Linked DNA regions of Xenopus tropicalis. The protein of the gene in region 3 interacts with the protein of the main gene of each other region in a pairwise test. Links are inferred from orthologs where the notes say so. Each region holds a gene or a part of one and is shown on either strand. Other genes may lie near its edges. The genes, in order: cep19, dual specificity protein phosphatase 13 and calcoco1.

What was found.
Region 1: the proteins of calcoco1 (region 3) and cep19 interact in binary tests that used the Homo sapiens proteins (3 or more experiments, as listed by UniProt). The two-hybrid records come from large-scale screens. The link is inferred for Xenopus tropicalis from reciprocal best matches to the Homo sapiens genes CALCOCO1 and CEP19.
Region 2: the proteins of calcoco1 (region 3) and dual specificity protein phosphatase 13 interact in binary tests that used the Homo sapiens proteins (3 or more experiments, as listed by UniProt). The two-hybrid records come from large-scale screens. The link is inferred for Xenopus tropicalis from reciprocal best matches to the Homo sapiens genes CALCOCO1 and DUSP13B.

The regions. Positions count from the first base shown.
Region 1 is NC_030681.2:133,901,492-133,907,080, reverse strand, and holds the start of cep19 (centrosomal protein of 19 kDa), read left to right. Parts: upstream 1-1,821; 5' UTR 1,822-1,863; intron 1,864-2,874; exon of another isoform or gene 2,875-3,033; intron 3,034-4,834; 5' UTR 4,835-4,852; coding exon 4,853-4,982; intron 4,983-5,589. UniProt on the Homo sapiens protein: Required for ciliation. Recruits the RABL2B GTPase to the ciliary base to initiate ciliation.
Region 2 is NC_030683.2:55,066,783-55,072,238, forward strand, and holds the start of dual specificity protein phosphatase 13, read left to right. Parts: upstream 1-1,974; 5' UTR 1,975-2,060; intron 2,061-5,456. UniProt on the Homo sapiens protein: Dual specificity phosphatase that dephosphorylates MAPK8/JNK and MAPK14/p38, but not MAPK1/ERK2, in vitro. Exhibits intrinsic phosphatase activity towards both phospho-seryl/threonyl and -tyrosyl residues, with similar specific activities in vitro.
Region 3 is NC_030678.2:146,549,489-146,554,319, forward strand, and holds part of calcoco1 (calcium-binding and coiled-coil domain-containing protein 1), read left to right. Parts: intron 1-1,050; coding exon 1,051-1,176; intron 1,177-1,804; coding exon 1,805-1,900; intron 1,901-2,443; coding exon 2,444-2,549; intron 2,550-3,115; coding exon 3,116-3,330; intron 3,331-4,831. UniProt on the Homo sapiens protein: Functions as a coactivator for aryl hydrocarbon and nuclear receptors (NR). Recruited to promoters through its contact with the N-terminal basic helix-loop-helix-Per-Arnt-Sim (PAS) domain of transcription factors or coactivators, such as NCOA2.

The DNA.
Region 1 (5,589 bases), on a different chromosome or scaffold from region 3:
GAGGACAGGTATGCACTGAGTATTAGGGCAGCCCTACTGTAGATCCAGAACGGGCCACAAAAACCCCAAAAAACTGAGGAACACAAGCAACAACCGGTGGCAAAACAATGGGCTGAGGCAAAACATGACGCTTCCTCGTTTCGGTGCATGCCTATAGAACAAATTGAGATACATCCAAGACAGTGGCAAGAGACTTCTGAGAAGGGAGGCTTTTTGGATAAACAAATTGAATTGTGTGAATCCACGAGGTCTAAACGGACAATTAAATCTTGTTGTTTTTTAGTCTAGACAAATATGGTAAAATATAAGCTCTTAATCATACATGATCAACTCGAAAGGATCGGTTTATAGGATATTCTGTATACCTTTTTGATATTCCTAAATAGTGTCACAAAATAAGCTTGAATATGTATATATTAAGAGTTATATAAAAAAAATATATTTCTTTTCCTACACGATTTTTTTATGAACTTTTTTTTTTACAAGGACACTATTGAGCTTACATGATGATGCACAGGTTTTTGCAAACCAAAACAAATATTGCACTTTATAACTATTTTATAGCATTGCACTTTTTAAGTATTCATATCATATGGCAATTATGTGAATACACTATGCACAATACTTTACTGAATGAAACACTAGTTTTATTATGAGATTATTTATAAAATTTATATGAATTTTTTAAACTATTATGCACTGCAAATGGTCAGACACTGGTCCATTTGAATTTGCACATACACAAGAATATTGGCTAATTGTATAATAGTTTGATGATGGGGATTGGGCACTTTTCCACTTGTTGAATTTGAGATTGTATTTAAAAGTATCGTGAACACTACTGTATCCTTGAGAAAGGTCCTATTGTGGACCGAAACGTCAGATTCTTTTAAAACAATATGTCTTAAATAAAATTGAGAAATTTTAAGGATGTGACGGCCACGGAATAATTATCTCTGAATACTTAAAATATGGCTGTGCACCCCGCAAAGCTGCAAGCTTTGGAGTGCAGACACTATAAGGACTGAGATATATATGTTCCCTGTCCCATGTGTGTGGGGTATCCCCTCTCCTCTTGCCACTTTTTCCACATTATTGTGCGTATTTTTATGTAAGTTCCCAACACCACTGCGTTCTATGCTCCCTTGAAAACTTTTGTTTCAAAGCCACAGTCACCCACCCACTCTACAAGTTTAATATATAATATTCTTCTAGGTGCCATTCTTTGTGCTTTCTGATGCTTTTTTCCCCCCCAGACAAAAACAGAGAACTGCAGTTCCACAACCACTGGAAGACAGCAGATGGCCAGGAATTTACACTCGCTTTGTGCATTTATTGGAATCCACAAGGGAACACAGCCACTAGTTATCGGCTGGCTTGAACAATGAAAACATGAAATAAACAAATGCGGTCTGTGTGGGGCTGTTTAGCAGATCTCTGAGCAATGTGTGTTACCAACAGGCCCCTAAGGAAGAGCTCAGGCACAGTGCTGGCTGCCCCCTGCCCCCACCTCGCACAGTGACAATAGAGAGACAGTATTTGAGATCTCCGCTCCCTGTGGCTTTGGGTGTCGGAAGCTTGACTGACTGATCAGGTAAGGGCAAGGCAGCCGCCTAATGAACAACTGAATAGCCAGTGCTCCCACCCCCACTTGCTTTCCCTTCAGGAAAAAAAGACTTGGCTCTGATTACGCGGAGTCCTTGTCTCTCCCCCTTCCCCCCACAGCAACCAATCAGATCTTTGCTTTCGTTTTCCAGCTTGCAAGTTACCGTTCATATCTATTTGCTTATTGGTTGCTACAGGCAACAATACTGCAGACTCTCTGTTTAAGCCAATGCAGTTCCTGGCACAGGAGTGAGCGTGGTAAGTTATAGGGGCACCAGTGGTTCTGGTGAGTGGGTGGGGGGGCTGTGTAAATGGCCCAGGGTGCATGTTGCACTCAAACCTGTAAGCACCCAGCTGCATTTTGTCTGTGACTGTCGTTTGTTAAACTATCACTCTTAGCATCTGTGTAAAGTCACAATACTCATGCATTTGTGCAGTTATGTTATTGGCCAGTCTGAGGATAAGGGGATAAGGGAATACTCTATAGTGATATTATTGTGATGTCTGGGGTTAATGCAAAATGATTCCCCCCAGAGAGCTCCAAAATACAAACATGGATTTTTTTTTTTATTTCTACTTGTGGCAATAACCTTGTACTTCATGGTAACCATACTAAAGTATAAATCCATGCTGTAGCACAACAACACTATTGGCTTTTATTTTTCAATATTTAATGTTGTTAATTAGCATTAAAGAGGTTGTTAACCTTTAGGATAACTTGTTTACATACAGGCAGGGCTGGTGGCACTGGACCTAAATACGCCCCCTACATGGCAGATGTTAAGTCATTTACGCAGTGCCTATGGCGTGAAATCCTCACCCCCCCCCCCCCCCCCAGCTCCGTCACCAGATTTCCCCAGGAACTCTGTGGTGGAGGTTGGGGGCATTTTTTTTCCCTTAAATAAATCAGATTTATAGGCATATACATTTTTTTGGGGGGGGGGGGTACCTTGTGCTTATTTATAACTTATGTCCATAGATCCACATTGGCTGCAAAAATATCCCATTAGGTCTATTTAAAGTTTTTAGCAAACCTAAGGTATGGTGATCCTAATTATGAAAAAAATACTTACCCAGAATACAACAGAAGCCAAACATTACTGATAAAAGATCCTATACCTGTATACTATTCAAAATTCCTAACTGTCTGTGAATGAGTTGAATAAGGGATGCATACAGTATGTATTAGTGATGTGCAGGTCAGGAAAAACTCAACCTGCACCCGTCCCTAACCAGCAAAATGTTGCCATTGCAACTATATGCTACTATATGCTACTTTTGCGCGCCTTAGGTTCCAAGACAGGGAAACTTCAGAAGCAGAGGAAGAGCATACATCCCCAGTCTCTCGTAATGGTGGGAGTGTATTTTAGTGTGATCTTAAGTTACAACCAAACATTGACACCAGTTACCATGCTGTAACTAATAGAGGTATAAACATTATTTACAAGCCCTTGGAGTGTGCTGATGATTTAAAGGACTGTTTAAGTTCTTGATAGGCAGCACCCAGGCATGATACTTTGTTCAAATTAACAAAAATAAAGATTTGGAGACTGATTTATCATTGATCAAATATGGGAATATTTATCGATCCTCAGCAGTTTGAGCTGATTTTCAACTTCCAAAAACTTTCCAGGCTGTGAGGAACACTTGGGTGAAGCTCCTTATATAATCTCTTGCGGCTCAGGACCACACAATAGCTGCCTATCAGGAGATTAGTGAGCAGGGGGCTTAGTCAAAATAATGACCTAAAAATCCACTTCTTTATAAAAAAAAGTTCAACTGATTGAAGCTGATTTGAAAAAATAATATGCAAACTTCTGAAACATATTTTGGCTTAAAATTCCAGTTTGTAATTGAGAGCTGATCATTCACCTTCCTCTTTATAGAAAGCAAGGATAATGGACAACCATGTGATTTTCATTTCTATGCCCCTACCTGGACCTGAACTTTACCAGCACACTCACTTCCGTTGCCCTGTGAGCCAATGGCCTAAAAGATTACTTTTCAGAATTTGCAAAGTTGGTTAAACAAAGCCTACTTAAACATATATAGTTATTTCAGTCACTTTGCTTACTAAGCCAACTCGTTCTTGGCCCTATAAAAATGTTTCCTTACAAATCTTTCATTTATGCCCTCATATAAGGATGATCTAGGCAAACTTGATCAGCATTGGTGAAAGTTGAATAATGTATCAGGGTGGAACACTGACTGCAACCAATCTGATTTTGGATTGAAGTTAAAAGTTACAAAGATGCCACTGGGGTTGGAACTTTTTTTTCAGAATTGGGTTCATTTGCTTTGCCATTATTGGTTTTGCCCTTCAGCAGTGCAGCTGTATTAGACACTTTCTCTGATATGAATATGTTCAAAAAAGAATTATTAAATAAAACACTGTTTACTTGAAAATTTCTGTTAGATCACATAGGCAATAGATGATGTATCTTTGCACATCAAGAAGATGCTTGATCTTTTCAAGAGTAGCATTTATCAACCTGACTCTCCCTCACATGCTGAGTCCGATTAAAATTTTAACATATTAAAACCTATTCCTCTTAATTATGAAGATCCACCATATCCAGAATTAATTATAGTTTTCACTCATAAGAATTTGAAAAAAACATGGGCCATTAATTAAAAAAACTATTTTCATGGACAAATTTCTATAAGCACCCTAAGAATACCAATACTACTATAAATCAGGTAGGTGAAAGCATCATGTTGTGGGGATCCTTCTTAATTGGCGTTTTAGGAGTAAAAGATAAAACAGTACACATCCCTTATCATATAATCTTTAAATGATAAAGCTGCGGAATACATTGGTGTTTCATAAATATGTGTTAACAATACAGGTATAGGACCTGTTATCCAGAATGCTTGGGACCTGGGGTTTTCCAGATAAAGGGTTCTTTTGGTAATTTGAATCTCCATACCCTGAGTATATTAAATTAAAAATCATTTAATCATTACATAAGCCCAACAGGATTGTTTTACTTCCAATAAGGATTAATTATATCTTAGTTCCCATCAAGTACAAGGTACAGTTTTATTATTACAGATTAAAAAAAAAATCATTTTTAAAAATTAGAATTCTTGGCTTATAATGGAGTCCATGGAAGATGGCCTTCCGGTAATGTGGAACTTTCTAGATAATGAGTTTCCGGATAAGGGATCCCATACCTGTAATAATGACTTGTTGTAAAGAAAAATAATTTTACATTGCTTGTTTCAGCCCAACTGTAAAGGGGAGATGAGCTACATGGCAAAGAAGTGTGGGGTTCGCTTTCAACCCCCTGCGATCATTCTGGTGTATGAAGATAAAGAAGCAGGAAAATCACGTCAGCGCATTATGCCTATCCGAAATTTCTCGAAATATTCAGGTCAGTTACCTCTGGTCAGGATGATGTAGCCAAGCACATCTGTATACATATGTTTATATATTACTTTCCTTAAGAACTGACTTGACCACTCCAGTAACAGCATAACATGATAATAACCCTCATTCATAAATTCATCATATCTGTATTGGCAGCCATGGAGTTCCTATGCTGAGTAACTGGAAAATATAATGTGTAGCTCATTAGTTATCAGAAGGTACAGTTGTGATAAAACTAGGTGGTGGTGGGATCAAAATGCTGTATTACTAAAAAATGCATATATCCCATACCAATGATCTCAGACTGTGCGGCCACCCGCTAAACAACTCCCCAGAACCAATTTATGTTGTGGCCCTATGAACATTCTTTATTTAAACTAAAGCTGCTCATACATGGGCAGATATTGGGCGCTGGCTAAAGCTGCCCATACACGCACCGATACATGACCACGCACAATTTTCGGGATCAGAATTATCGTCCCGATAATTTTCGTACCATGGTGATTGGCCAGGTTAGAAAATGTTGGTCGGATAAGGATAAAATCTGCAAATGTATTGTGTATCTGACGATATTCTTGGGGGACCTACAATAGAAGTCACTTTGTACGACT
Region 2 (5,456 bases), on a different chromosome or scaffold from region 3:
TATGGGTATGGGTGTGTTAATAAAAAATGCTTTTGGTTTCATATTTAATTTGAAAAGGGCTTTTATTATACAGCTTTTCATGCCTGGGTGACAGGTCCACTTTAATGTAAAAGGTAAAGGGTTCCCTGGGTAAAAGAGCTTGAAATCTTAAAGAGAGAAGATGCTTGTGCATTACCCCTCTACGTGTCGATGCTACACTGTTCACACCCAGTTCCATATATACATACAATATATATATATGTAAAAAAAATTCTAAGCAACTTTTTTAACATGAATTTATTTAAAATATTTTTAGTGCTTTAAAAGCTATTCTTAAATGTAATTGCTATAGAACCCAGCATTTGTTGTTGCTTGTTGTGGCTTTTTAAACAATGTTGCAAAGGTCTCCTCCAGCAGGACAGGTCTGTCAATCAGCTGGCTTCTAGCTTGTGTTACATTGTTTCAAAAGTCAGAGCCACCAGGGCAGAGAATAGTAAAGGACAGATACACACTGCTTTTAATAACAATAAAATATACAAATAACTTATTAAAAATTACAAATTTGTAATGAATGTTTCAACAACATCAGATGACATTCTGAATGTTTATAAAAATGTAGTAGAAGAGGAACAGAAGATTTTACTGGGCCGTAAAGCAAATCTTTTCAGACTTACACAGCAAGACAAATACAGAGGAAGTGAACCTATTCCCCACAATAAAGGCAAAGATTTTGTCATTTTTAACAATTGCTTTATTCTTGGGTAAGGGAACCTTTAATTACTTCAATGTGCATGGACTGGGACCCTCAGAAGAGGTTCTAAGGCAACATCCAGGTGGGATTAAAGTGGCCAGATGATTCTTTCAGCTGAAGCAACATTTGCATCTAGGAATGTATTGGATGCTGCTCAGGTATTCATCAAATGAGCTAGTTCTCAGAGGTTACACAGAACTTTGCACTGCATCCCAGAAACACTTTCAGTTATGTTACTTCCACTGGTCATCTATGTGTGCACCAAATTATTCATGAACAGGAATAAAGCAGTGGCAAAATGCAGGCATGACAGGCTATTCACAACCCAAGTTCATGCACTGTGGATGCAATGTCTGGGCAAGTGCACAAGGCAAGAATTGTATTGAAGGGCAATTCTGACACTAAGGGGCTGATTTACTAAGACACGATTTCAAATCCGAATTGGAAAAATTCCGATTGGAAACGAACATTTTGTGACTTTTTCGTATTTTTGGGATTTTTTCGGCGTCTTTACGATTTTTTCGTAAAAACGCGAGTTTTTCGGCGTCTTTACGATTTTTGCGTAAAAACGCGAGTTTTTCGGAATATCGTAAAGACGCCGAAAAAATCGCAAAATTACCGATCATTACGAAAAAAACGCAATCGGACGCATTCGGCCCGTTTGTGGGTTAGTAAATGTGCCCCTAAGCCTGCTTAGTTATACATCAAATTTAGAGGTTACTACAGAACTCATCAGAGATGCTATACATCAGACTGATACTATACATTGGAAAGCTCAAGTAGGAAGTTGGGAAACAGCAGTCCTCTAGTTAATATATGGTTACATTTAGTTGAGTCTGCATAAGCATTCATCCAATTCACTGGTTTCCTGAGATTCATCACGATGTGCACCATGCCAGCTACCTCAACACTAATACAAATATTTAAAATGTTCTTCTTATTACGCTTCTTGCAAAAGACTGTCTGAGGTAGGAGGATAGTTCGATGCTATGCCTCCATTCAAATGAAATCCAAATGAAGTGTGAAATTCTGCTGCCAGTGAAAGTTTAAACTGCACTGTCATGCTCTATCAAAAATAGCTTTTTAGGCCTGGACTTTGGAACACTATCCTAAGTAACCCTATACTTTTGGTCTTCTTTCAGGCTTCCTGTATGTGGCACCTAGCACATCATATGATAAAATTAACAATTATAAAAATAGATTCTAAAAAATATATCCTTGAGTTACTGTATACACATTAGGAAGAAGGATCAGCTTTGCATGAGACGGAAAACACAAGACGCTGAGAGTGAGAAAATTAAAGTGAAACAGAAGAAAAGGATTGAAACAGGTGTGTTCTAAATTCAGATAGGCATGGTTAAAGGTACAAATCAAGTTTAATATTACCTGTAAATGTATTTGTATCAATAGTATTCATGGATGAAGAAGGTATGAAAAAATTTAAAGTGAAGTTACCTGTACGTTTACTTTAAAAACTATAAAAAATAAAAAAGTTATCATATTTCACATCAAATAATAGGGTCACTGCCCCATGCAGCCAAAAAAAACTGTTGTACTGTAAGGCTACAATTTTACTGTTACTTTTTATTCCTTATCTTTCTATTCATGCCAAATTATCTTTATCTCTTCAGTCTCTCATGGAAACATCTGCCTAGTTGCTGAGGTAAACTGGACCTTAGCTACAAGATAACATACAATAAACAACAAATTAGCAGTGAAACCTGTGGTGTTTGGTATAGTATGGTTTGCTTTTTGAATTTTTGTGACTAATTAGAACCATTAAATGTTTGCATGTTTCAGTGCTTATTTGTTGTTTATTGTATGTATTCATATACAGACCTTAGCAATGAGATAAAGACACTTTTTTTCTGTATTATTTATTCTTAGTTACAAGACAACTGAAATGGCAAACTAGAGATTTGCTGAACAAAAAACTACATAATTTTTATACTATAAAATATAAAAAATAAATACCTGATTTAATACCTATTTAAATACCTATTTAAAGGTGGACTGAACAGATTCAGTCTGTAAAGTATTTCTTTTAGTTACTTGTTTAGTTCCCTCAGGTCTAAAATGGCTCTAAATTTTTAAAGGTGAACTACTCCTTTAAAAGTTGTTTTATAAAAATGTCTGTATTATACAGGAAGAAAATACATTTCTCCCTGCACCATCCTCACTAATTACAAAATACATATTCTTTACATCTGCATATTACAGCATTTCATTTTAACAACTTTCCTTGGGCATTTCTTGCATTCCCCTGCAGTTCACATTGGAGGATTTTTGTACCACTTGGACTACAACAAAAAGGGTCAACGAAGTGTTGGAGTCACAATAGCATATAAGTAATTTGGACAAAAGGTTGGCTTTTTATGAAGTATTTAACTCATGTTTCCAAATAAAAGATATAGGAACATGAGCTGCTGTCCCTATAAGAAACAGGTGATAACAGGGAAAAAAAACCTACAAAATGACTGGCAGGATTTCAAAATAAAAATATCATACTGCAAATATTGAGTAGAGGGCAGCTGGGTTGTATAATCTGAACATTGGGAAGTTAGTAGATGGGTTGCTGTGTATGTTTGTTAAATATGGAGGAGGTATACTAATAGAGAGCTGGAGATACAGCTAGATGATTTATCCAATTTAATGCATATAAGGCAGGGATCCCCAACCTTTTATACCCATGAGCCACATTTAAATAGAAAAAGTGTTGGAGAACAACACAAGCATGAAAAGGGTTCCTGGGGGTGCCACTAAGAGCTATAATTGGCTACTTAATAACCCATATGTGGACTGGCAGCCTACAGAAGGCTCTGTTTGGCATTATACTTGGTTTTTATGCAACGAAAACTTGCCCCTAGCCAGAAATTCAAAAATAAGCACCTGCTTTGAGGCCCCTGGGAGCAACATCCAAGGGGTTGGCAATATGTTGCTCATGAGCCCCTGGTTGGGGAACACTGATGTAAGGTGTAAGAAAGCTGGGCATTGTTGTCCTGCATTAGCTATAGGATCCATATTTTGTCATATGCCCCCATATCCTTTTTGAGAGAATAGGTGAGTTGTTCTTTGGTGGCTTTATGCAATCTTTTGGCTTTTAATATTGATAGTGGGAATGAGGGTTTCTTCCAGTTGCTGGCTATAATGAATGACATTAAAATATGTTGACCCAGTCTGTGTTCTGCATTGGAGAATTTGTTTTCTTTGGGCCTTTGGGAAGCCACTAATGCAGGGGTCCCCAACCTTTTTTTACCAGTGAGTTGGGGAGCAACACAAGCATAAAAAATATTTCTTGGGGTTCCCAATAAGGGCTATGTTTGCCTATTTGGTATCCCCAATGTGGACTGGCAGCCTACAGGAGGCTCTGTTTGGCAGTACACCTGTTTTTTATGTTTTAAAAACTTTCCTTCAAGACATTTAAGAATAAGCACCTGCTTTGAGGCCACTGGGGGCAATATTCAAAGGGTTGGTGAGCAACGTGTTACATAAGAGCCAGTGGTTAGGGATCACTGCTCTAAAGCATTGGGAATTGCTGCCTAGTTAATAGTATTATAGTAATATTTTAGTTTCCTATTGGCAATGGTTCTAATCTGTTTAACATGAGTATTACAGGTATGGGACCTGTTATCCAGAGTGCTCAGGACCTAGGGTTTTTCCCCAATAAGGGATCTTTCTGTAATTTGGATCACTATACTATGGGGCTGATTTACTTACCCACGAACGGGTCGAAATGAGTCCGATTGCGTTTTTTTCGTAATGATCGGTATTTTGCGATTTTTTCGTATGTTTTGCGATTTTTTCGGATTCTTTACGAATTTTTCGTTACCAATACGATTTTTGCGTAAAAACGCGAGTTTTTCGTATACATTACGAAAGTTGCGTAAAAAGTTGCGCATTTTTCGTAGCGTTAAAACTTAACGCTATGAAAAATGCGCAACTTTTCGCGTAAGTTTTAACGCTACGAAAAATGCGCAACTTTCGTAATGTATACGAAAAACTCGCGTTTTTACGCAAAAATCGTATTGGTAACGAAAAATTCGTAAAGAATCCGAAAAAATCGCAAAACATACGAAAAAGTCGCAAAATGTTCGTTTTCAAGTCGGAACTTTTCCAATTCGGGTCGGATTCGTGGGTTAGTAAATCAGCCCCTATAAGTCTACTAAAAAAACATTTAAACATTAAATAAACCGAATAGTATTGTTTTGCCATGTCAGATACCTTGATCACAGCAAGCCAGCAAAATACTACTGGATAATTAGCCAAACCAATGACAGGCTGTATATAGATCTCTAAGCAGTTGCTGGAGCATGTGCATTAAGCGATTAAAGCTGATAGTGCCCTTGTTTCGTTATGTGTGACAAAATCATCATTTTAATGCAGTTGAGTTGCATTTTATGGCCCAGTTTTCTCTGCAACCATTGATTTTAGATAATGGATGTCAATTTCTAAAAATGGTTGTTTTGTGCCCAGAAATGACTTTTAAGGAAAAGGAAAGGCTAATAAAGAGTTAATCTCAAGCTGCAGGCATACCGTCAGTTTTCTCAATAGTGCCTTTAAGTCTCCACATGTTTCCCCCATTCAGATGATCAGAAGCCTCATAGGAAAAAAAAAAACGCTGAGCTCTGTAAAGAAAGTTCTCGTAATGCCTCACTCCTGCACCAAGACCAAGACCGGTGTACATGCTCAGTTTGTAAAACTATGAGGAAGCTTCCTGCTGATTGGC
Region 3 (4,831 bases):
CCTGCCCCGCCTCTATGCCTTAGGCATAGAGGTGGGGCAGACAGTTATGTTCACTTTCAATTCAGAACTTATTGGATGTTGCTGTTCCCCTCACATCCCCCCTCCCTCCTCACCATCTAATTGTGTATCCAGTGCATGGATATGGGTATCCGGTCCCCCCATACTGGCACAGAAACAAGATTTTGGCAGGATGCAAAGCTTGCCTTAATAACCGTGTCCACAAAATGGTGCCTGCCTGCTTACTGCAATTGTGAATTCCAAGGCTGAAGATAATAAGATTAAAATAATTTCTACAGTGTAGGTGAAGTTTATTTTGCTTGACAAACACAATAGAAAACAATTTGGAATTATTTCTTAGGGTGACAGGTCCCCTTTTATGAATCAGATAAGTGAGTGTAGGACTGGCCAGATTGGGGATGACTTTGACGCAGCTTGAAGTATATTGCAATATATGGACAAACAATCCCTGTTTTGCTTAAAGGGGTGGGCATTGTTTGGTGAGTGCAGAGCATCTCTTGTTGTTTTTAATTTAGTTTTAATTTAATTTGTGGTCACAGCCTCATTGCACCCCCACCTAATGGTTTTAAATATAGTGGTGAGCACAACTTTCCCTTTTTTGCTATACTAACAAACCTGGGCAATTTGCTCAAGAAGAATGTACATAATGACATAAAATGTAGCAGCTAAAGGTATAAATGGTATCATTGTAGCATTTTGTAGCTGAAGTTATTTTATTATTAGCCAGCCTAATGTTTAAACTTCTGTTTTTAACTTATTCTGCGTTCCATTTAAAATAAATCAGTTGTCAAAACTATACAAAGAACTACAAGCTTGGGTACTTTCATTCCTGTAAGTAATTTATTTTTCTGTAAAAAAAAAAAAAAAAAATCTCTTGCTGTGCGGTATGTTGCAATACAGAAGGTATATACTGTATGTAATGGCTCTTGGAAAACAAGTGCAGAAGTAAAGTGCATGTGTAACACCAACCAGTTAGAATTAAGGTTCCTTATTCTGTAAGCTAAGCCAGAGAAACTGTCTTCTATATTGCAGGCCAAGAGGGATCAGATTGTGAATCTGAAAGCAGAAAAACTAAGCCTGGAAAGCAGTCTGCAGGAGGAGAAAAGTCAGAGGCAAACATTGCAGTGCAAACTTAACCAGGAATCAGATGCCAGACAGGTACTACCCCCAGAACCCCCATACTCTGGGAGGCCATACTTTACTGGAAGCTTATTATTTGAACTAGAACAATGTTTAGTTAGTAATGGACACTGTAGAAAGATGGAGGTAAACTATATCGACAAGCCTGAGTCTGATTCTAGTGTTGGCATCGTGTGACCTTGGATAAAGTAGTTATTAAATGTAGCCATACATTCTTTGAATGCAGTGGTCAGTTGGACCAAGACAAAGCATGACAATGCTTGTGTTTTGCATATATGTTTTATAAGGAGCTCAATAGATGCCCAACACAGACTGCCTTCTTCAATGTACATCATTATACCATGATTTTCCTCTTTTCCCTAAATGCATCAGGCATTTTGAAAATACAGCGTTGTGTATTTTCACATAATAAAGTTGTCTTTTTGTCCTCTGCATCTAAACTTTTGCCATAAGAATCTTGCTCAATTAGAGCTTCTCTGAACCAGAAAGGTGTGATAAAATAACAGCATTTATACAGTGCTGCGGAATATGTTGGCGCTTTATAAATAAATGTTAATAATAATAATGTTAATAATTTATAAATCTGGGAAAAGTTATTTCCAGCAATGAATCTACTGCAGTTCCTTATCTGTCTACCACGGTACAGGTACAGTTATCCGAGAACAGACGAGAGCTGAGTGAATTGAAATCTGCCCTAAAAGTTGCACAGATGGAGAAGGAGCAACTGAGAGAGGAAAGGCAGGTGAGACATTTACCGCCATATCTCCATTACTTGCCTGTCATCAAGCATCTGCTCTGCAGAAGTAAGTGCCACATGTGGGTAATGGAGCAAGGCAGCACAAGCAGAAATGCTGATACCTTTTGTATAGCAACCTATGGGATGGTGGTTTTTAGTTACATTACTTCTGATTTAATATACATTCATCTAATTAAACACTTGTCTAAAACATTTCATTTTTATGCTTACTTAACCACTAACAACTATACAGAACAATAGAAATATACATCTATATTTATATATATATATATATATATATATTGTGTGTATATATATATATATATATATATTGTGTGTATATATATATATATATATATTGTGTGTATATATATATATATATATATAACACAAAGTACTGTTTTATTATTACAGAGAAAATTGAAATAATATCTAAAGTTTCTGAGCTTTCTGCATAATGGTTTTCCAGATAAGGAATCTCATACCTTTATTTGATCTTATTAATGACATGTCTCATGGTTTACCTTCTTTGTTCTTTTTTTGTTTTAGGAAATGCTCCAGTATGTTCATAGGCTGGAAGAACGGCTAGACAAGCTGGCTGATGAGAAATGGAAAGAAGAAGAGATACTTATGGAAGAAACAACAGCAGACCTAAGTATGCACTTAAGTGCCCTCTGTATGATTTAACATTTACCCCTTGTTGTCCTAGATTTCATTTATTGGCTAGTTTTTAAATATGTCTATTATTGTTCTGTGCATGATGCCTTAGAGAAGATGCGGTTGCTTATCTTATGTACTGGTGACATGCAACCTTGGCAGCTGCAGTGTTTGTACAGTGGCTGTTATGGTGTTCTAGAAGTTTCTAGATCAGCAGCAGGTTGAAGCTGTAGGTTAAAAACTGCTACTTGTTCATGTATTATACGTGATAAGTTACTATTTACATTTGTAGGTGTTCCTGTAACTAATTGCTTTTTTGTGTAAATAAAAACAGGTTATTAGTCATGCTATCTACCATCTGATAATAGGAAGGGATAGTAGGGACGGAGAGAAAATGTTTATGCCACTTGGAAAGTAATGTTAGTTTGGCAAGTGAAGCTGCAGAGGGATTATAGTTCAGATTATTATTTTTGTTGATCGCCTTGAATGTGAGTATTTACAGAGAATGGTTTAAAAGTAGAGGCTGTTTAGAACTGTCTGATGTTTTGTGTACCTTCTGTACAGGTCCTCCTACTTCACCAGTGGATCTTTCTGATTCAGATGATGAATCTTCAGGGGATGAGAGAGAATCTCAGAAGCTTGGAGCATGTTCCTTTGATAAAGAGGACATCTCCTTGGACATACCGTTGTTTCCATGTGAGCCTCAGAAGGTGGTGATAAACCAACCTGCACCGATTGCTTGTCAACTGCAGCCTCTCCCTGAGGACAATGTTGATTCAGTGAGTAATACTTGTTTGACTGTGTTCATTCAGCAAAATGAACTTGCATGACTCTACAATGACTATAACTTGCAAACACAACAATTGGTAACAAAGATATATGCTCTTACCTCTGTACACAAATACTAACAGGAGATAAGGTGGGCCTATAACAAATGAAGTACCTTCAGTGAACACCATTAGAGCAACTGCACTTGTGTGGATTAAGGTAAAAATCTACCAAATATTCATACAGTGCTTTCCATTATAATTTCCATAAGCAGATATAGGGGTGAGATACTAGAAAACATATTAGGGTATAGAAAAAAGACAAATAGAAAGCATTGCACTCAACAGCACTCAAAAAGGCTTTATTTAAATCCCAACATTTTGGTCACACTTAGTGACCTTTCTCAAGGGAAACAAACAATTAAGTGATTCCCTGTCCTGAGTGCAGTGCTTTCTATCTTTATTACTATCTTCATTTGCACCCAGGCAGCTGTTTTATTACATTTGAGTGTTCCTTTCAGTACTATATATATAAGTCTTATAGAGAAGAATAGATCTTCTAGAAACCAGGAACAGTTTCTGAAGGATGAGAGAATAAACATCAGTGGCCTAAGACAGTTAATGGTTAAGTTTCAAGCTTAGAGAGAAGTAGCTCCAAACCTATCAAATAACAGTCAGTATTAAATTCTAATTACTAGAATTTAATAAGGACACCACAACCTTTATGCATATAGTATGTTTTGCAAACATATGCTGAAATTAACCTCTGCACACCTGGATACCTCCTGCAGGTGCTGGGTCTACAGACCCCTTTTTTCATGACCCTGATAACAGATAAAGCAATTGAGGTTTTCACTTTATTTAAAAATGTATTTTGCATATATATATTTTTGCCTGAGCGCCTCAGATTTATGTACAAAGTCCATTATTTAATATTTCCTTAAGGGTGTAACAAATGAGATGGAATGGATTTGTTTGCAGATGAGACAAATACATGAAGGAAAGTTAATGTCATGAGATATACTGAGCTGTAACAACTAGTAAATCAGAATGCTGCAGAAGTATGCTAGATAAAATTTAGTGCCTGAAGTGCAAAATAATGCATTTAGGCTGTAAAACGTTGAGAGGAAAAATAACAATAATGGCATTAATTATGTGAACCGCTATAGAGAAAAGAAAGCTGCCTGAAGGTAGGTGGGTAATTCTTCAAAGCAGCGAGGAAAGAATAAGCAAGGAGGGAGCGAGAGATGGAAGCAGTTGCTATTGAATAATATTTAATGTCATTGACAATCTCTTTTGTACAGATTATTAGATGAAAAATCAATATAAATCCATGCATATTCTGTCCAGTCCCCCCCTTGTATTAGCACTTGCACATTTGATGTATTGCAGTTTTATTTCCTTAAAGTCAAGAAAGTTTTTAACAAAATGACATATCTATGAAAGCTAATACAGAAGTCCAATTCTGAGAATGTGTTTGATGTCTGTGAGCAGTTGAGCACCTAAAGAGCAA